Linked DNA regions of Drosophila melanogaster. The protein of the gene in region 4 interacts with the protein of the main gene of each other region in a pairwise test. Each region holds a gene or a part of one and is shown on either strand. Other genes may lie near its edges.

Region 1 (5,203 bases), on a different chromosome or scaffold from region 4:
CCTGCAAAAGCCAAAGAGTAAAATAAAACAAAAACAAAAAAAAAACAAAGCAACCGAAATGCGGTGTGGCAGCAGATGGCGGCGACTGCTGCTTGATTGAGGTGCAACAATTTGTCTGCAATTGGAGGCGCAACAGCAGCAGCAACTTCGGCCCAAAAATACAACCGAGTGTGGCTGGCAAAAGCCGTCGGACGGGTTTTCCTCCCCGCGCCACCGCGGACATTCCCATTCTGAAACCCACTACCATTGCCAGTTCCATTCTCATTCCTGAACCGCTTCCTCCATTAAGCGCTCCAAGTGACCGGCCGGTCTGCAGCGGATTCCAATATCCAAAGGCGGGCCGAACATGCACAGCCATTTCTTCGTGAGTCGGAGGAGTTGGTTTCATTTGGTATTCCCTGCACTCGCTCCCTTGTCGCAGTCGACGTTCCAGTCTCATTTTCAGCCAGGAAGTTCGTTGTCGCCTGCTGTCGCCCCTGCCACGCCCCCTTCCTCGGCCGAGTCCCCCATTTGCTGCAGTACCTTTCCACACCCCTTTTTGGCTACACCGGCAGAAACGTGGCACGTCGTTAGACTAGTAACTGAAAAACCGCAGAAGTATCCGACTAACAGGACCAATTGTTTGTTACAATTAACCATTAACCCTTTCTCGCAGTGCAATCGCTTGGTGTCCCCGGCATTTATGTGGCTTTTCATTTACATGCCAACATTTGTTTCCCTTGGCAGTTGGCAACAAGGTTTGAGGACTAAGGATTGAGGATTGAGCACCGCACACCGAAGACTGAGGAATGGGCAATGAGTCATCGAAACAAGAGTTGGGGACTGCAGAGTGCAGCAGGGCGAACGCATTGCAGTTGGCTACTTTTCAACCTGGTTCCGATGATAGAGATAACTCAGCGGAGAAACCCGCATGCTGTCCAATTGAGAGGCCACAATCTGGGGCACACGAATCGTGGGAGACTGGGCTTCTGGACCTGGGCCAAGCGGAAGTTTAAGAGCAATCATGTAATGTGCTTGATCCGGAAATGCGTAAATCAAATGAAATGCAGTGTCGGCGGAGTGGTAATACATATATGACCCCAATTTGGCCATAGTGCTCACAAATCAAAGCCAATTTGCCAAATTACTTAGAGGGGCAAAAATAAAAAATAAACTGAGGGGCGCCAAGGACACCCACAACTCAACCGCCAGGTGGGCGGCTCTCGAAAACGTCTCCCCACGGAAAAACACGAATAGAAAGCGACGCCGGCGAAGACAAAACAATTTCGTTCGCCGCGATGTCGCGCAATTGAAAGTTTTGTCTTCGATTTGCATTTGCATTCAAAAAGGAAAGGAAGCCAAATTGTGCGAAATTGTTCGAAATTGTTGGGGAATTGCTTTCGCTTTCACACACAATACGAAATAATAATGGGGGGCGGGATCGGACATTGCATCGATCGATCGCAAATTATCGGTCACTCCACTCGGGCACAGATCCCAAATGGACGTCAGGCGAGTTCAAATTGGCTGGGTTCAAGTCAAGATAACACGGGAGACCAAGAAAGGTCCACGGATCGACGTTGATAGCTCTCAATTTGCATTTCTATTTTTGGAAACACTCAAGGCAATATTTTATATGACTCCTAAACGCAGTGGGGGTAGCCCATTTGGCAGTTATCAGAATATGTATATAGGTAGCCAGCTTTTTGATAAAAAACATGTGTGAATTCAACCAAAAGCCATTCAAGAAAGCCATAACCATAAATGTCGTATATCTGGATTCTTCTTGTGGAAGATTTTAAGAGATTTGTCAGTTCATAACCCACCATCCTTATTCTACAAATCTCAAGCTAGATCAATCTGTGCATCGGAAATTGTTTGAAATATTTTCCAGAGGTATCTTGAATACCTGGTAAACTCAAAGAGACAACCAAAGAAATAACTAAAATATGAATAGCCAAGTTACAGTTACATTCTCATAACAAAGGTCACCTAGCAGGCGACTTATGCCTAATTCCTGGATCTACCCTACATTATCCCAGACTAGAAAACAACAACAAGAAGGCAAATACTTACAGGACTCCGGAGCAGCGGGTGCAGACAAAGGATCCGATGGTCATGTTCACGTAGGTTGGTCCTTTTTGGCCGCAGTCGAAGCACTGCCGATTGCTCCCCGTCCCGCTGGCCACTAGTTCCCGCAGGGCGAGCAGGTACTTGTCGTCCTGTTTCTTGCGCACCACCGCCATTGTCGCCGTCTCTGTCGCTCCCTTGGCCGCCGCCCTTTGTACCGCTTCCGGTACTACTGACGTCGACGTTGTCGTTGTTGTTGCTCCTGCTGCTGCGATGAGCGGCCTGACGGAGGGTCCGCTACCTGCGCGCTCCTCCTCGGATTCCTCCGCTTCCGCTTCGTGGCTCTGAGCCCGATCCTCGTCGGATCCAGCTAGCTGCTCGGTGTCCGAGGGCAGCCGCTCCTCGGGGGGCGGGAGTGGGTGGTGGTGGGTGGACCGCTCGGCCGCGTAGGGCGCAAAGGGGGCGACGGCGGTGCGGTAGGAGGAGGCGGCGTGGGGCGCGGAGCTGTTGTAAGCGTACACGAACTGAATCTTGCCTGATTTTTTGAATTCTTTCGGGAATTGGTATCGTTTACTTTCTGCTCCAAATTGACGTAAATTTCCGCTGTTATCGTTTTTTGCCTATCGTAATGGCTGGCTATCAGGATCGTTTAGGGAATCAAAAATTTTTATCGGGAATGCGAAACTGACGTAATTCCCCTTCCCCTCTTCTAAGCTTTCCTTTCCTTTTCTTTACGCAATTTTTGGCTTGACCTTTCCTCTCCTTCGACGCACACTCACACACTCACTTTGACACTCACACTGACAGGTGTGTGTGTGCGGTGCGATTTATCGAAAACCACTTTTCCGATTGCCCGTGTTATTGTTTACTTTTCACTTCTTCGACTCGCAGAATTTCGCTTCAATTCAATCTATTTACACCGAGTGCCGCTGCAATTGCCACACAGATTTCAGATTTCAATTGAAATTTCGACGCTGCGAATGCACTCGCCACTTTTGCTGCTTCCCCTTCTCCTTGTTTGTTTGCAGTGCGGATTCGAAGACGAGTGGAAAACGAACAGCGAAACGAAACGGAACGAAACCAAACAGCACAGCGCACTCGAAACAAAATAGCGCGACTCGACTCAACACAATTCCGACGCAAATTCCGACCGCTCGCCTACAACAACAGCAGCAGAGTGACCGTTGGCGGACGGGAGAAACATACCTCGTGTTGCCGCTGGAAATGCACTAAAATTGGACGGAGCTCTAAGACCTAAATATGCCGCAACTAAAGCACAGACACACACCGATTGAACCTAATTCGATAACTGTTATCGAAATTTAAAACTTTTTAAAAAACATATTACTATTTAAAATGTTGGGAAATATTTATTGAATGCAAGTCGACTAAAGATAATAATAATTCTACAATAGCTATGTTTAATCTAATATTAGTTAAACGCATCTCACTTTTTAATTGGTATAAGCAAACACTTAAAAACCTAAACATTTCCTATGCCTAAACCTAACTAGTAGGTGAAATATGCACATAAGCACATGGAGTACTTCTTAATCCTCGGCGCGCTGGCGGCTGTTTCCCTTCCTGATGAATTTCCGCTTGAACGTGGCGGGCGCAGTGGCGGCTATCTCCTCATCCAGACCGCCAATCGTCTTTTCCTTGAACTTCTTGACTGGAGGTTCTGGTTCACTCGAGGCGGAAACCACGGGCGCAGCACTGTAGTAATCCGTTTTGGGTAGCTGCCAGTCGATGGGCTGCTCAGGTGCTCTACAAAAATCCATAAATTTATCAGTAAATGCATTTGAACCTAGTAGGAAGGCCCTACTTCACTTCCACAGTTTGCCACTGTCCAATCTCTTTGGTGGCCGCCTCTTCCTCCGTTTTGAATGTCTGACGCCTCTCCTCCTTCTGCTTCTTTTCCTTGGGATTGTCCGTCCTGCGGAAGGCTTTCATCTTCTCTCGGTTCACCCTCGCCACTTCCTCGTCGACATTGGCGCGGAATTTCAGCGATTCCTCGGCCTGGGAGATCTGCTGCTGGTCGATGGCCAGCTGGTTGATGCGCTCGTACTCCTCGTAGGACAGATAGCCCTCTTTCGGCGGCTTCCACACGGATTCATTGGTCTTCACGTTCCAATAGTAGGTGTGTCCCTCGTCCGACTTGCCCTCCACCCAGAGGGATGCCTCGGGCACGGCTGCGTCGCTTGTTACCTTGCCGGGAGCCACCCGCCTCTGGTCTTCTTCTTCGTCGGACAATCCTTCCAGGCGCATGGGGTCCACTTGGCGTGATCTTCCGGCGAAGGAGTGAGCTCCGCCTGAGGCGGCAGCAGTGGCGGTGGCCCTCATTACCGTGTTAATGGACCTGGCGGTCATGTCACCGCGCGAATGGACATCCTGTGCGTACGACTTCATGGCCGCCTCCTCCATCTTGCGGATCTCCGCGTCCATTTTCTGGCGCTCCCGCTCCGATTTCTCGCTGTTGCGACTGATGTCCGTGATCCGCTTGGCCACATTCATCTTGTGCCGCTTGCCACTCTCGTGGAAGGCGACGCTCTGCGGGATTAGGGGTCATTAGAGTGCCGAAAAGCGAGTTTATTCTATGGACTCACCGCCTTGTTGTCGCTCAGCCAGCATTTGCAGAAGTCGCAGAACTTGCGCTCGTTTGATTTCCAGTACTCCGTCCTGTTGGAATCGAGAGTTAGCTATGGCAAAGCCGGAGGATAATAACGCAGACTTACATGATGATTTCTCAGCTTAATTGTTTCGAATACAAGTAATATTAAATTTTGTTTGCAATCGCAAATGAAAACAATGTGCGGGAGTTGCCACCCAGTCGCGAATGGAGCTGCACAATAGCTCCGTATCTGACTTTCTAGCCATTCCACCGCCAAACCGACATATCTGTCAATAGCTATTGACAATCGAATTCCGTTGATCGGCAAAACTTTGCGACTTTAGTTAGTCGCTTTTTGAGATTCCCCGAGGCAGGAGCTCGCCCGATCCGCGTCCAGCATTACGGAGCACCATTTGCGAGCAGCAATTAGCCATGGGCCAGACACGCGTGGCAGCAACAACAGCGGCGCAATCTCCCGCGGCGGAACTTTCGCCAGAGACAAGTGAGTAAACCGGAGGAGGAGGTCGTGGTCAGGTCACCGAC
Region 2 (7,732 bases), on a different chromosome or scaffold from region 4:
CGATTTCGTACAGGCTTCTGTTGTTCTTGGCTCCAACCTTCTCTGTCTTCTCCTCCTCGTCGTGATCCGAGGAGTCTACCTCCATGACGCTGATATCGAGTTGCGTTTCTGTCTTGTTAAACCGCTCCGATTTGTTCAGTTCGTTGAGAGCGACTTGGCGAGATCTTTCCAGCTCGGTTTCCGAGATGGAAGATTTTTCCTCACTGACGTTTAACAGTTGGGCCGCTTCGCTCAATTTACTGGCATTGGATGAGCAGTTACTTTGGTTTTTGGGCTTCTCTGTTTTGTTCTCACTTGAGTCGTCATTGGTCTGAACTTTTCCATCATGTTCTTCATCACTGGGGCTCGCTATAATAATGCGGCGACGTTTCACGCTATCCTTCTTCCGAACCGGTGGTAAATGCTTCTTGGTCTGGACCTTCTTTTTGGGAGTTCTTTCGAACGATTTCTCCAACTTAATGCGTTTCCTCATCTGTCGCAAACCTATTCTCTCAAGTTCTTCTGAAAGATCCGAGAAACTGTCCGAAATGCGTTTGCGCTTCGAAAATTCTTTGAATTTGCTGGCCACAGAAGAGGATAGCGACGAAGACAGTTCATCCTGGATGTAGGCTGCATCGCCAATTTTTGCATTGACTAAAAGCAAAAATCGAAATAGGATACTAAATCTTGAGAATAGAATAGCATTTTACTTACAAATTGTTCGCATTGCGAAATGGTGAGCCATATGTGAAAAAATATGAAAAGTTTTGTGCAACATGACGGACAGGCAACCGCCAGCCTACTTTTCCAGAGAATTGTCCCCGAATGTTCGGACCCGTAATAAAAAGTTTCCTCCTTCATTTTGTATTTGTATGGGTAGGCTTTATTTTCTGTTTCTCAGATGCTCAAAAAAAAAGGGGACAAGTTCGAAAATTTCTTAATTGATTTCATATCTTGATTGGATCAACAACCAACTTGCTAGCGTTAAGTGTGGTTAAGTGATGTGCAATTGAACAAAATAATAATATATGGCAAAGAGCAAGGGCTTGCGTAACAAATAACCAATAGAACAAATAATAGAATCAAATTCAATCGGGGAAATGCTAATGAAAAGAAACAAAAACTGAAGTATGCATTGTGTACACTTAACATTTCCACTAATTTTTCTCTAAATGTAATGTATCCTAAGATCTGCGAGCAAAGATCTGCTCCTTGAAGCGCAGCGCCGCCTGTTTGGCGGAATTGTGTTCGACCTTTGGTGCTGCGTGCTTGGCCCGCTTCCTTGACATCCCGGAGGGTCCTGGCTCCTCGCGGAACCCATGCATTTTCGGTGTGGGCGGCAGCTCGCGGAAATACTTCTGTTTGGGTGTGCACGGCTCAACTCGAACCATGCCCGAACTTGTCTTAATCAGCTCGATTTTGGGAACTTTAGTGGGCGGCTCATCGACCACCGTCACGTAGCCAGCATTTGTTCGAATACGATGGCCGTGGTTCTCCTCATCGGAACTCTTTAGCGGTGATGCCTCCTGGGGCTTTTGCTTCTTCTTCCCCTTCTTCTGTTTGGCTGATTTCTTGTCCACCACTGGCGGCTGTGGCGACAATTTGCGCGAGAGCGTGCGTGGCTGCGGAGGAGCAAGGACTTTTGGTTATACTCTTATTATTTGTAGGCGACTAACTAACGCTTACCTCTGCTTCGGTGGCTTTTGGTGGCGCCAGAAGATTAACAGCATGACTCACAGCCTGGCGCGCTGCCTGTAGGCGCTTTACATCCTTCTTCAGCGCCGGTGGCTGCTTGGACGATTTCGCTGTGTTGGTTTCCGATTCTGAGCCGATGGTGCCCAGGAGCTTGGATGGCGCTTGCGCAGCAATTCGCTTTGGCTTCTTTTGCTTTGCTCCGCTGGCAAGATGCTATAAAATATAAGCGAATTTAGTGTGAATCGTAAAGGAGATTTTTTATTTAAGAAACTGACCTCTTTCTTTTCCTTTAACTTAGCCTCGTTGGCAGCTTCCAGGAGGTTGTGACAGTATGCCAAGTAATATTCGGCAGTCTTCTCCACCTTGACCGGCGCCATACCCTTCGGTTTTGAAGTCACAATTTCTGTCGGTCTTTCCTCGGATCGCGGTGAATCGCAAGTTTTCGGCTTCTCCATGAGAAGCTCCTCAACGGCGACAGTTTCTTCTTCTTCAGGTAATTCCGACGCAGATGGTTTCTCAGATGAAGTAGTGGGCTTTTCTTCAATAGGAACTTCACCATTCGAGACTTCCCCGTCGCTGTGATGTTCCTCGGCGACAGTCATTGTTTCGTTTTCGTTGTCCTCCTCCATTGAATCCGTGGAAGCACCATGTGAGCTCTTAAGGCGCTTGCGCTCGTGCTTAATCTCCATTTCCTCAAGATCCTCTGGTGCGCCTGATAGGCTTTTCGACAGGCGCTTGCGCTTGTTTTTCTGCCTCTTTTTCTCGGCCACCATGTCAACAAAGGACTGCGAGGGGCAGAAGTCATTGCCAACTTCAACCCGTTCACTACGGCGTCTCAGTTTGGGATTCTTGGCTGCCAGCTCGGGACTGGGGACATGTAAGGACTGGCGGCGGGATTTCTGTAGAGGGTTAAACATTTTTTCCAAATGGCTTAGATCACTAGAGGCCAATTCGGCGAGCAGAGCTTCTTCATCCGCAGTTGAAATTATGGATTTTTTGATTGTGGAAGGGCTTTTGATTTCAGATGGTTTATCTTCATCAGACATCTCGGTTTCGGCTTGTTTGTCTTTATCAGACTTCCCGTTTTCGGCCGGTTTGTCCTTATCAGACTCCTCGTTTTTACCAGCCTCCTTAGGGTCTTCAGTTTCATAAGAATCCATTATTTCGTATACGCTTTTGTTGCCTTTGGCTCCAGACATTTGGTCCATGAAAGATGTAGATTTTTTAATTTCGGAATGGTTTTCGCTTTCAGCTGGTTTATCTGCATCACTTTGGTCTTGATCTTGCTCTTCCCCGTCATCAGAATCCACGATTTCGTACAGGCTTCTGTTGTTCTTGGCTCCAACCTTCTCTGTCTTCTCCTCCTCGTCGTGATCCGAGGAGTCTACCTCCATGACGCTGATATCGAGTTGCGTTTCTGTCTTGTTAAACCGCTCCGATTTGTTCAGTTCGTTGAGAGCGACTTGGCGAGATCTTTCCAGCTCGGTTTCCGAGATGGAAGATTTTTCCTCACTGACGTTTAACAGTTGGGCCGCTTCGCTCAATTTACTGGCATTGGATGAGCAGTTACTTTGGTTTTTGGGCTTCTCTGTTTTGTTCTCACTTGAGTCGTCATTGCTCTGAACTTTTCCATCATGTTCTTCATCACTGGGGCTCGCAATAATAATGCGGCGACGTTTCACGCTAGACCTCTCAGCTTGTTCAGATTCTTCAGCGTCTTCAATTTCATCCTCGCCAGAGGAGTAGCAAAGCTGTCCTAAATCTTCCTCGTCTTCGTTGTCCGATACAATAAACGAATCGTCGCCATCAGATTCTTCTGGGGTAGACTCCTCAGTATCTTTACTGCCAACGGACTCCCCATCGATTGGAATTTCATTCTCCTCCATTTCCCGGCGAAGCGAACTGTCCATCGAATCTCCAGACATGTAATCTTTCCCAGCATCTTCAGCTTCTAGGTCCACAAATTCGGAAATGGATTTGTCTTCTTCGTGCTCCTCCTCGTTTTCTTCTTCATTCCCGTGGTCTTCAACATCTTCCTCAAAGCTTTCTAGACGAGCCAGGATTTTATTCTCAGCCTTTTGCTTTGACATGGGTGATTGTTCCACCATCTCATCCTTAGCATTCTTTGATTCCAGCTCATCGAATGGCTTGATAGCATCAATTTGAGGAGGTGCTGGATGCAATTCCTCCGTGCTGTTGGACAGGCCACGTTCCTGATCTTTTAATATTGGTGTGGAACTATTACGACCCTTTTGCAGAGCCAGTTTTAAGGGCGTCTCCGGCTTGGGGGTTAGAATGCGACAAACTGGCACCTTCTCACGTCCTGGAGTCTTGGGAAACCGTTTCTTTTCTACCTCTAAGTCATCAGTGTCGTTGTTGAAGTCCACCGATTTTTTTTGCTCCACAGCAGGAGAACGCACAGCACGAGCTCTTATGCTGGGCAGATGTATAACCTCGGTAACATCGATTTTGTTTTGCTTGTCATCATCCATTGAATCATCTGGGTGTACTTCCTTACTGTCTTCGACATATTTTGGAGCTTCCGACGGAAATACCGGCTCATCGTCGTCGAGGTCTACAAACTCCAGTTCTTTTGGTTTCTCTACTGGCTCATCGGTTTGTGGCTCTAACTGAACAATCGAATCTTCTGCATCCAAAAACTCTTGGTCCTCCATGGACTCATCTTTTTCTGGGCTTGTGTCCATTAAGTCAACAGTAGAAACGTTTTGTGGAGTATCTCTTTTCTTTTCTATTTGAGGATGATCAATCAGTTGCTGAGTTTCTACTTTGCTTTCAATTATAGGGGGTTCAATCTTCTGGGGAGTTTCGGTTTTCGTTTTAATTTCATTGTCTACCCCAACGGGCTCGTCTTTTTCTTTAATTTCAGGAGTGCCAACAGTATGGACTTTCTGCAGAGTCTCGATTTTTCTTTCAACTTTGGGGGACTCGACGCGTAGTGTTTCAAACACATCATCCATGTTTTCTTCAATTTTCTTGGATGTCGAGGTTGGAGTTATTTTTGTAATTGTATCTGCGCTCTCATCAGGGTGAAGAGCTTTACTTGAACCTTGAATTTTCGAAAGTGTAGTAAATGACTTCAGGAATGATTGTTTGCCAGCATCCTTGTCAGGTTGGGCTGATTCGTGTGTTTCTGGTGCCTGTGAATGGGCTTCAGTGATAGATTTATTTTGCTCCTCAACAACTCCATTATCCTTGAGTTCATCCGGTACAATCAATGGCTTCGCCTTTTCCATCTTCTTGCCAGAGAATTTGTCCATTGAAAGTTTCTCGAGCCTGACTGCCACTTTGGGAGTGGTTTTAATATTGGGTTTAGCTTTTTGCTCAACTTTGGGTGAATCGTTAAGATCACGAGGCGTATTACTGGACGAACGAGTGGGCATTGGTGGAGTCTGAGACATTGAACGCGTCACTCGTTTCTCATCACTCTGCTGATTGGGTGTGAGTGTTCGCCCTGGACTCGGACTGACACTGGGCTTCCGCTGTGCCTTTCCCTTGCCCTCTTTGGGCACAGGGCTTGGACTGGGGCTGGGCTTTTCCTGCTTGACCTCATTTTCCTCAGGTTCCTCTGTTAGTGTAAGCTGTTGGCGCACAGATCTGGTGTTTTTAGCTGGCGTGCGAGCTGTCCTTTTCACGGAAGAGGGCGTCGTCGGCTCGGGAGTTTCACCGCGTGCCAAGGATGCGCGCCTGGTTCGTGTTGGAGTCCTCACATCTAAAGTGGACGAGTTCAGACGTGTGCGACGTGTGGCACGTGGCGAAGCGGTACCTTTTGAAGCGAGAAATAATATTCTTAGACTTGAAACAACCGGGATCCGAGTTGGGCCACAACTTACCGAGTTCCGCAACCGTATCCAACTGCGGAGTGCTCGGACGACTGTCCGTTTCCAGAAGGGACAAGCGACGAGTTCTAGCCCGGGTCACTACCATATTTATTGGATTAAACGGATAAACGAAAAAATGAATAATGTGTAAGAATAAATTTTATTCGATCGAATGCAAAGGCGACCTGCTTGAGATAGGAGCCCCCCGTTAATGGCTGACTTTGGAGCGCCGGTTTACTTGTCCCGTTGCTTTTTCAGCACAGCACGCTTAGATTCACTCACCGCGCTTTCCATCTGTGTTCTCCGTATTATCATCCATTTGGCCCGGCTCTTTTGTTTTTCGCACACAACAATTAATTGAAATCAAGAGAGTTTCGAACCCGCATGCAAATTATAACAAAGAAATAGAAACGAAGACGCCAAGACGCCGAGCCAAAAAGTGATTTTCACATGTGCCGCAAACTGCGACGTTCTCTAACACTGCAGCCGGCTGTTGAGCATTTGTGTGGCGGCCGTTAGAATTCAAACTAGTATAGTTTCGGGGCTAAATTCAATGTGTCGATAGCCTAATATCACCTTCAACTGATGAATTATCTTAAATTAAATTTTATTCGAAATTAGGTTTCTATCTTCTTATTTTAAGTGCAAAATCACTTAATAGTTCGTCCGATTTAGACGCTGTGCAGCATTGGCCTGTTTCGGCACCGATAAAGTAGCCGATATCATTTAAGCGGAATTATCGCGAAATCTAAATTTAAACCATGACCAAACCGCCAAGACTTCTTGTAACGGTTGAATAACTGGATATTAAAGCGATGTGTTTATACATATGTATGTATTTATAAAAGTACAAATATTTGACGATAATCATTTTTATATTTAAACAAAGAGTATTTTTTTAGACAATTCAATAATAAAGTGTAATTTCTATTTATTTGCTTAGTGATTATATTCATAATCAGGCTGTTAACATTAAGTTGAAAACATAATTAATGGCTAGAGCATATTTTGCTTTGCTAACTCCGGATTAAACTGACTGTTGTACTTTTGGACAACCTTAGGCGTCGAAGCCGGCGTGGATTCGGCACTGGCAGCCACCGGCAGCTCCTTGGGTGCGAACAGAGCCTCGGAACGCTGGCGTTCCGCTGTTTCCCGTCGCATGCGCTCCCTTCTTAGCGTCTCGAGCTTTTCTCGTTTTATGCGTTCCTCGGCCAAAAGGGTCTCCCTTGAACCATTTTTGCTCTTGTGCTTCTTCTTATCTTTCTTGGATTTCTTGTCCTTGTGGGGTATTGAAGGTTCCTGAGAAGGCGCGGGTGTCCTTTCGCGAATTCTTTTTGTGGCCTTTTTGGGATCCTTTTTTTCTGGCGGCAACAAAGCATTAATTAGGGTCAGAGGATCGTGGGCTAGCTTTTGCTTATGATGAGTTTCAGTAGCTGTGGGATCCCCAACTTCTGGTCTTTTGGGGGCTAACTCGTACCAGCTGCGCACTTTCAAAGCTTCATTGGTGTCCTGGCCCAAGTAGGTGAGGTAGCCGATCTGCTTCTCATACTTCTCCTGCTCCTCCTTTTGCTCCTTTTCCAAGTCTTTGTTAGTGGTCTTCACTCTCGCCTTGTAGTCGGCAAAGAGATCCACCCCTTTGGTTGTTTCAGTACTGCATTGCGACTCCTCTCGAGATTCCTTGGAGGCCTTCTCCGGCAAGCCCGATTGGCGGCGCAGGAAGTTGATTCGTGCCTCGCTTTCCTATTTGATAAAAGTACACATTACTATGTTAAATTGACGATATTTGGGCAATACCCACAGCAAATTCCAATTTCTCCTGCCGGACTTTTTCTTCTGCTGCGGCAGCCGCTTGATCCCGGCGCACGCGGGCAATGTTCTCCTTGGTACGCACATGCCAGCTAAGAAATACACGTGAATTGATGAGAGGTATCTTTAGAATCAGTATAAAACTTACCGTTTTTTTGGTAAAATATTCATTTTATTTCCACTTTGTTGACATTCCTGTAATCGATTACTCGATAGGCATCTCTGTCTATCGAATGGCTCTGAATTATCGAATGCCCTAAGCGCAGTAGGCCGAATTTGTTGCTCTCTAGCTTGAAAAGTGGACTATTTTATTTATTTTTTAAATGTGTTTACTTTGCTGACTTGACGTGGCCACACCCACTTACACTCGCGCGCCCCCTGGGCACTCGATTAATTTTTGGCATTCACAGGCG
Region 3 (4,452 bases), on a different chromosome or scaffold from region 4:
CAGGCAAACAGAAACCGATCCGTCAGCAAAGTGGCTACAAAAGCACGTGAAGAATAGAGTGAATAGGGTGCTGCCCCAACTGGCTCGGATTACGGACAAGTGCGTCATACTGAAATGGTGCAACGGCGTTATACAAGACCACTGGCCACTCAGACAGATCTTACAAATCCGATTCGCTGTCAAACGCTAATTCAAGTTCAACCCATATCAAATAACAGGCTTGTTCGCACAACAAACAATTACGCGAGCCAAAAAGGAAAAAAATACACAAAAAAATATTATTAGCCACTGTCGCGCACGAAGTCGACCAAGGAAGCGAGCGAGCAGGCAGGCAGGCAGGCAGGAGGAGTAGGAGGTCAGGGTGGGCAACGTATACCCATTACCAGTTTTCCTATTCGACAGTCTCGAAACTGAATTTTGTGCTTATATGGCCATAAGCTTAACACAATAATAACAACGTCGGTCGAGTCAGCGTCAACGGCATCGACATTTGTATAAAGACAGTCGTGATTCATGATCTGCGACAGCCGCACAACAAGTCCTTATAGTCCAAGCACATCGCGACGTGACCTTGAGCAATTCGACCCACTGATCGCCGAACATTTTCTTTCGCCCGCAGCCGGAGTACTACAAGGACGCGCCACACTTCCGGCGAATTGGAGACGGACCCGAGTACAGGCTGGAGATACCCAGCGCCAAATTGGATTTCACCGGCACCTATTCCGTGATAGCCAGCAATTGCCATGGCGAGGCCAAGGCTGTAATATCGCTACAAATATTCGCCAAAGGTAAGCAGCACAGTGAATGTGTATGTATTTATTGACCTGGGCACTGGGGGTAGATATTCAATAGGCGGGGAAAGACAACGTCCCGCCAGAAGTCTTCAGCCATGCTCAGCAAACTGCTAACGAATTCCGGATCCGCTTGTACCCAAACGTAGTGTAGTGCTCCGTTGCTCTCGAACGTGGGACTTAGCACGCAGTAGAGCGCCTTTTTAACATTCGCCGCAAACATCTGGATTTGTATTTGGGCCATGTACTTGGGTGCAATAGATTCGCGTGCCTCGAGGTACTTCTCGAAGTCCTCGTCAGTCTTTGGTGATTTGATTTCGACAATGTGATCGTCCGTGATGCCATCAGGGGCGGCGCACAGGAAGGGGAAGTTCTCGTGCAGGATCAGACCGCATTCTAAGTAGTTCTTGTTCTCCAGCTTCTCAGTCTGTTTCAATATGAAGCGCTTGTGCTCCTTCTGCTGCACCCGATCCTCGTTATTCTTGTCACGTCCTCTGCAAAACATCATATTGAAGATTTGATCGTCATCATCAGAGGTTTTGCGGCTTATGATCATGTGCATCATGGAGCAACGGATGCGCATATACTGTACCTCCACCCACAATCGGGATTTGTATTTGCTTCGCGTTGCCTCGTACAGACTTTCGATAATACCCGTATGTGCCTGTGCCTCCATGTGTTGCACATAGCTGGACGGATCGACGACATTGTACTCATTTGCTCGGAGCAGCACATGGTGTACGAACATGGGCTCGAACTCATCGGTGGTCTCCACACATTGCCGGTAGAGCGCCGAGTCCCTGCCACAGTCGGCCAGTTCATTCAGAATGGTCACTAGGAAAGCCTCTCCCTCGCTGGCGCTAAGTTCTTTCGAGTTTAGTTCGCTTTCCATTCGCACATCATCCTTGGGAATTATATCACATATTCGAGTAGCAGTTGTGGGCTCCGGTTGCACCAGATTTTCCAACTCGTGGCCCCAAAACTCCACCACAGCCGAGGGATTTCGATCTGTGCTCTTGTTTAGCAGCCAGAAGGTGAAGGCCACGATGTGGGCACAAGTACCTGTAATGTACTAAAGATTAGGAACTAGACATTAGTGGCAAATGGAGTCATTCTCACATGCTGCAGTGCACAGGCTGCATTGACCGTCCATGATCATCTGAGCACTTTCGACGATCTTAAGCGATACATTGGCGTGAGTTACCGTGTTGGCGAAGTCGGTGGCAGAAAACACGAGTCCCTTGAGTTCGCACACGTCGCCATGTCTGCGCACCTGGACGTAATCCGTGAGGAGATCACATCTATTCGTTGGTCTGTTGGCAAAAATTCAATTTTTAATAGAATACACAGTAGGTATATGTGCGAACGGGATGGCACTCACATTTGTTTTGATTTCTCAGATGCGCCGGATAGACAAAAATTGTACACCATTCCGCTGTTCAAAGCGGGTATATTGTGTATGTCTGCTTTGCGGAAGCCGGGTTCCAGGTCCATGGGCACAATTATCATGCCCCTCATTTTGTTTTAACCAAAATTTGAGTACAAGAAGTAGAAAATTAGATGGTGTGCTAAAAATAAACATTGGGCCACAGCTGCTATCGATTATCGATATATTCGCACTCTTGCAAGAATCTGACAAAAATAGCCAAGACACTAATCACCACTGCTTGGCAAGCAGTTTAATGGGCGCCAATTTCGAAATGCAATATTTTTTTACTAAGTCAAAGTGCTAATGCATAATATCTTTTTTTCAATAGATATACTCAACAAAAGCCGCATGGATAAAGTGCACACGAGACATGGGTAAGTTCAAGCTTATTATCAAGATATGTTGTCATTAACAAGCTTTAACAATTAATCAGCAACATCGAGACCCTTCCCCGATTCGTTCGCAACTTGCGAAACCTCCGCTGTTGCGATGGGGATGCGATATCGCTGGAATGTCACGTTGAGGCCGATCCGGAGCCGTTCATCATCTGGGAAAAGGATGGGCATGTTATGCCCAGCGATCGGGACTACGTGATGTCTTTCGATGGAACCAAGGCAACGCTGAGCATACCGCGCGTATATCCAGAGGATGAGGGCGAGTACACGTGCGTGGCCAAGAACTCGGTGGGTCGCAGTCTCTCTTCCGCCTGCATTATAGTGGATGTGCCCGAGGAGAAGGAGAATATGCTCAGCCGCCAGCTAGCGCGTCCCAGTGGCCTGCTCTCCGCCCACTCCACGCCCCGTTCTACGCCGAGATCCACGCCCGCCAGAAGTTTCTCTCCCCTGCGCCTATCGTACCGCACCAGCAGCATCGATCTGTCCGGCGTGGCGGAACGCAGGCGTAGTGATGCCCGGAATGCCATCACGGCGCCAAAGTTTCTCGCCATTCCCTACAATCGCGTCGTCGAGGAGGGCGACAGTGTGCGCTTCCAGTGCGCCATCTCCGGACATCCCACACCGTGGGCGACATGGGACAAGGATGGCCTGATTGTGACACCCACGCCGCGCATTGCCGTCAAGGAAATCGATGACCTTCGCATCATAGAGATCGATGAGGTGACCTTCGACGATGCCGGCCTGTATCGCGTCACGCTGGAGAACGATTTCGGTCGTATTGAGGCCACCGCTCGCTTGGACGTCATCCGCAGCTCCCGCTACTCCAAGTCGCCTTCGGTGCGCAGCGTGCGTGCCTCCTCCTCCCGCCGTAATGCCCACTTGTACAGGCGCATCATGGGTCCATCCACAGGTGGGTGCTGCTCCTTGCCCAATTTACAGCTTAACTATTTCAATTGATACCATGCCACCCACAGCAATTGGCGGACGCATGGCTCTGGCAAGTGGCTATCGGGGTTCGTCGGTGCCCTCGGTGAGATTCTATCACAACGACGTGGAGCTCGAGGCCTCGGAACGAGTTCACATCCTGCTGCAGGACTCGATGGCCCTGCTCATAGTGGACAATGTGACGCGCGAGGATGAAGGCCAGTACACCTGCATCATAAGCGGCGACCACGATCCCCTCATCACTTCCACCACCGTCACCTTCCACGACTCGAATACGGAGATTCGCAGGCGTCGTGCTGTCATCACGGAACGACTGCCCGAGATTACTAAATCGCTGGAGGGCGAGGTGATCGATCTGTGCTGCTCCATCGAATGCGATGAACCCTACAGCTACGTTTGGTTGCGAAATGGCGAGATTCTGCCAGACAGCGATGAGTTCAAGTGAGTATAAATCTTTAGTTCATTGAAATATATTGAGTTGTAATAACTTGAATACATAATTAGTTATAAAAACATTGTTAAATTGCTCAGTTTTTTATAAGCACCCAATTTCCAGCGATTAGCTTGGATTGAATAATAAAAGCGAATGGTTTCCCTTTGTTTCGAACTATCCACATACTTATGGCACTTTCATTGCTCACTGCAGTTACATTGATCACGGCAATGGACGCCTCTGCCTGCGAATCAACGACGCCTTCGACATTGACTCCGGCATCTACAGCTGTCAGGTGTTTACCAGCGACATCAACGACTCCACCTCCGACTCCACCTTCGACTCCCATTCGATCTGCAGCTTAATCAACAGCGGATGCAGCGATTGCAGCAGCAGCGGTGAGCTGTGCGTCCTGGAGCGTGATCTTCGTGGCCAGGATGAAGAGTGTGTTCAGCTGCT
Region 4 (3,966 bases):
AATATAAGCCATGCTAACTAATTCGGCCTGCGTTAATCAGCTAGATTTTCCAAATTTTGACCCGACCAAATTTTGATGAGCATGTTTATCTTGTTGTTAATCATTTAGTTTTTAAGTGATTAAATTCTTTGAATTGAGACAGACTTATTAGAATACCGAGTTCTTTGTCTTTGGTCAATAAACAAGGCTGCCTATAAATTAGCCACACAGTTAATGACAGAAATTCGATGTTGTTTCTGCCACAGGTTGGCCTAAAGGTGGGCGTACGGCAGCGAGGATGCAATGGTCTGTCCTACACGCTGGACTATGCCAGCCAAAAAGGTAAGCCACTCTGGACAGAATGTTGTTCGGTGGAGATCTAATGCTGCGTTCTGTGTCGATTTTTGCCAGCAGACAAGTTGGATGAGGAGGTGGTCCAGGATGGCGTCAAGGTCTTCATCGACAAGAAAGCGCAGTTGTCGCTGCTGGGTAAGTTCATACCAGCTTAGCATAGCATTGGACAAGCCAGCTAATACAGAGTATAATTCGCTTGCAGGTACCGAGATGGACTTTGTGGAATCGAAGCTGTCCAGCGAGTTCGTGTTTAACAATCCGAACATTAAGGGCACATGCGGCTGCGGCGAATCGTTCAGCATGTAAACCGATGGAGATCCGGAGGAGATCCGCCGGCACCCGCCTCGCAGACAGACCTAAATTAACTAAGTTAAATGCAGTACGCGGCCCGACCTTGTATCTCATTACGTTGTTGGCAAAAGCACCGCATCCTTTGTAAATTTTACTTCGCAAACGAATTCTAAATATTAAGTTGTGTTCTATAGTTAAATTTTAGTTGTAGCGCTAGGTAAGTGACGCACCCGCTTCCTTGCCGCAGGCTGGCAGTTTGTCCTCTTTAGCCCTAGTTCAATATATAGACAAGGAATGTTCTAGAAAACCCATGTGCAAATCAAGTTTATTATTGAAAAAATACTTCGACTACGTGCATGTTACCGCTGATTGATACCCTGGAAACCGTACTCCTCGTAGTCGTCTTGCGTGTAAACAAACTCTTCAAAGTTGGGGCTGGTCGCAACCTCCTTGCCGCCGTACCACGCGTACCGCACCGGATCCTCGGGACAGATGAGTGACACTTCAAGATCGTCGGGCACCAGGGCACGTAAATCGCGCTTTAGGCGCGGCAGAAATCCCGGAAACTGGGCACTGCCGCCCACAATAAGGATGTTGAGCAGGAGTTCGCGGTGCGCTTCCCAGGGGCAAGCCTTCAGACAATCGGCCACCGCTTCCGGAATGCCCACCTGTTGCACACCAATGTCCGAGGGATTGAAGAGCAGCTCGGGCACGGTGAAACGTTCATTGCACAGCGACACCATTTGCTGTTGCTCCTCATCCTCGCGCGGCTTTCCGGGAACACGAACATAGCCCCGTTTGACGGTGGTGAAGTCTGGAAGGACATAATCAACTGTGACTTCGCGTCGCTTCTCCTCCGAATAATGCACCTGCATCGCCTGCTTGAAGTCCTCCGCCACAAAGCAGACATCTTCCTTGATCTGGTTAACTACATGACTCTCGTCCATGACGTTTAGGTGGCGATAAGAGATTAGCTCCTTTAGCTGGTTGGTCAGCGCCTTCCCGCCCATGTCGATGCGTCGTATGCCTTGGAGAACGCGCCGTCCCAGCACAAAAGGAACAACGTGGGTGAAACTGTAGCCTACATCGATGATGATGCAGTTAAGCGATTCCATTGTAGTCCGCTCCTCGCTGTCAGCCACATAGTTAAAGGCAGCCAGATCGGCAGCAGTGGTCTTGTACACCCCATCAACCTTGTACTCCTCAAACAGAATCTCCAGCGTTGCCTCCTGGATGCTCTGGAAGTTCATCTGCGGCTCAGTGATGACAATATTGCGGTTCTCCAGCGAACAACCAATGCCGTCCTTGCTGAATATGTAATCCCACACCGTTTTCTGTGTGTGCCAGTTGAGCAGGTAGCCGCGCTGGAACGCCAGAATGTAATAGAGCGCCGATGTGTCCCGGCATTCATCTATCTGATTTCCCACAAAAGCGCGTCGCCGCTCGCTCTTTGCTTTCATGATGCAGTTGGGCACCACATGGGGCTCATCCTGATTGGCCAGGCCCACTTTCGCCGTATGCGCTCCGTTGTCCAACACCACCACAGCGTTGGCCATCCTTTTCGTCCTCAACGTAGATCTATACCATTTTTCGGAAGAGGACAACAAACAACACTTCTTCTGTTCTAGTGCTGTCGATTAATTTGTTCAATCTATCGAGATTTTTAAAATCGTTATTTTTGGTGTTTTAACGGTCTACATCAAATTAAATAAGGAAAACAAAAACAAAATGAAAACACAAGAAACAACTTTTTGGAATGCTAATAATTCTATATTTCAGCAAAATACAAATACACATACAATAAAATTATAATATTCTCGATGTAGATCTATAGCATTTTTCGACAGAGGAAAAGAAATGACACTTCGTCTGCTTTAGTGCTGTCGATTAATCTAGCCATTTTTTTAAATTGGATCTAGTGAGAATTTTAAAATCGTAATGTTTGGTGTTTTTAACGGGCAACAACAAATTAAAAAGGACAAAAAAAAAATAGAGCACAGATCAAACAAACTTTTGGAACGCTAACAATTCTATATTTCGTCAAAATACAAATATAGTACAAAAAACTATCGACCAAGCCTACTTGCTAATTGGGAATCGAGGCGGCAGGAGCAGCCAGTGGCAGGACCTCTAGCTTATGCGAATCACTGTGATCGCTGACGAAGTGCAGCACTTCGAAGCCCACCTCTACCATGATCAGGATTATGATCATCCACTCGAGCCGGATATGATGGGCATCGTTCAGATTGTGGGACACCAGCTCGGCCAGTTCCACGCAGTGGTTGATCTTCTCGTTCATCACCTTGGTGCGCCGTGAGATGCTGAAGTAGGAGCACACCTGCAGGTAGAGTGCCTCCAGTTCCTCGCGGTCCCAGTAGAAATCGGGTGCATCCAGCAGATCCGACGACAGGTTGATCACATGACGCAGGGCAAATAATTCACCGGTTTTTCGCAGCATGGCCGCCCGCGAGATTCTTAATCGGCGACCACGCTTTAGATCCTCGGTGAGATGCTCTATGGAGTCTATGTAGCGGTCCAGTGTCGCCTCCCACATGCCCAGCTTTATTGACTGTGCCATCGCATTGGAGAAGGTGTACTTATACAGGAAACTATCCGTATCGGCGGTAACAAAGAACTTGCCATTCTGGAAGAATGCCCGTGACGTGACATTGAAGTCGCTGCTCTCCGCCACCAGATCGCCCTCCACATCCACCGCCGTCGATGGAATGTAGGTGTAGGGCATCACCTCGCTCTCCCCGTGAACCAGGGCACTCACATACGATTCCCTTTCGAAGGCGCGCAGGAAACTTAGCACATTGTTCGTCTCGATGTCGCTGCAGTTCCAAAAGACCACCGAGCCCTCGCGGAAGAAGAATATCTCCCGCGGCTGCTGACCCGTCGGATATTTGGCCGCCACAAAGAGCACATTCTGCTCCACGTCCAGATTGTCTGTGGAGAAGAAACGCTTCGTCTCGTACAGGTTCTGTTCGCGGAGGGCTATCTGCAGATCCTCCAGATTGTACTCCTCGGCGGTCGTATAACCACGGGTGTTGAGAAACCCCAAAGCGGACAGTTCATCGATGGCCAAGCGCTTCTTTCGAATGATCCTGGTGCGAATGGGCGATAGTATCGACTCCAAGCGCTCCTCGGCTAGCGGCAATGGCTTTACCCGCGGTTGCGTTTGAGTTCTAGGTACAGAAGCTGCTTGAGCTGGCGCCGCAGCCGATGAGGTGGCTTCACTGGCCAACCATCGGCGGCGGTCCATCATCCACTGCGTCTGCGTCTGCTGGCGCGGAATTCGAAGTCCTCCAAGGACCATCTGCCCGAATCTCAGGCGTGCAA

Evidence for each region.
Region 1: the proteins of Arp6 (region 4) and drongo interact in a two-hybrid assay, tested with the Drosophila melanogaster proteins (one large-scale study listed by BioGRID).
Region 2: the proteins of Arp6 (region 4) and sle interact in a two-hybrid assay, tested with the Drosophila melanogaster proteins (one large-scale study listed by BioGRID).
Region 3: the proteins of Arp6 (region 4) and CG8366 interact in a two-hybrid assay, tested with the Drosophila melanogaster proteins (one large-scale study listed by BioGRID).

What each region holds. Positions count from the first base shown.
Region 1 is NT_033779.5:847,844-853,046, forward strand, and holds the start of drongo (drongo), read right to left. Parts: upstream 3,229-5,203; 5' UTR 2,226-3,228; coding exon 2,056-2,225; intron 1-2,055. Other genes in the region: CG4291 (uncharacterized protein), read right to left, coding at 3,600-3,816, 3,875-4,599, 4,656-4,728, 4,785-4,786; kraken, read left to right, coding at 5,093-5,162.
Region 2 is NT_033777.3:10,331,377-10,339,108, reverse strand, and holds sle (slender lobes), read right to left. Parts: upstream 5,995-7,732; 5' UTR 5,833-5,994; coding exon 5,796-5,832; intron 5,713-5,795; exon of another isoform or gene 5,620-5,712; coding exon of another isoform or gene 5,613-5,619; coding exon 5,526-5,612; intron 5,459-5,525; coding exon 1,950-5,458; intron 1,888-1,949; coding exon 1,666-1,887; intron 1,602-1,665; coding exon 1,164-1,601; 3' UTR 844-1,163; downstream 1-843. Other genes in the region: CG12592 (uncharacterized protein), read right to left, coding at 1-633, 694-706; CG12818 (uncharacterized protein), read right to left, coding at 6,510-7,253, 7,312-7,411, 7,468-7,490.
Region 3 is NT_033778.4:15,952,975-15,957,426, reverse strand, and holds CG8366 (uncharacterized protein), read right to left. Parts: upstream 2,388-4,452; 5' UTR 2,310-2,387; coding exon 2,173-2,309; intron 2,105-2,172; coding exon 1,911-2,104; intron 1,854-1,910; coding exon 817-1,853; 3' UTR 791-816; downstream 1-790. Other genes in the region: Strn-Mlck (Stretchin-Mlck), read left to right, coding at 620-788, 2,549-2,594, 2,654-3,525, 3,590-4,001, 4,207-4,452.
Region 4 is NC_004354.4:15,734,854-15,738,819, forward strand, and holds Arp6 (Actin-related protein 6), read right to left. Parts: upstream 2,268-3,966; 5' UTR 2,181-2,267; coding exon 984-2,180; 3' UTR 921-983; downstream 1-920. Other genes in the region: MagR (magnetic receptor), read left to right, coding at 246-321, 391-468, 536-639; CG11679 (uncharacterized protein), read right to left, coding at 2,711-3,966.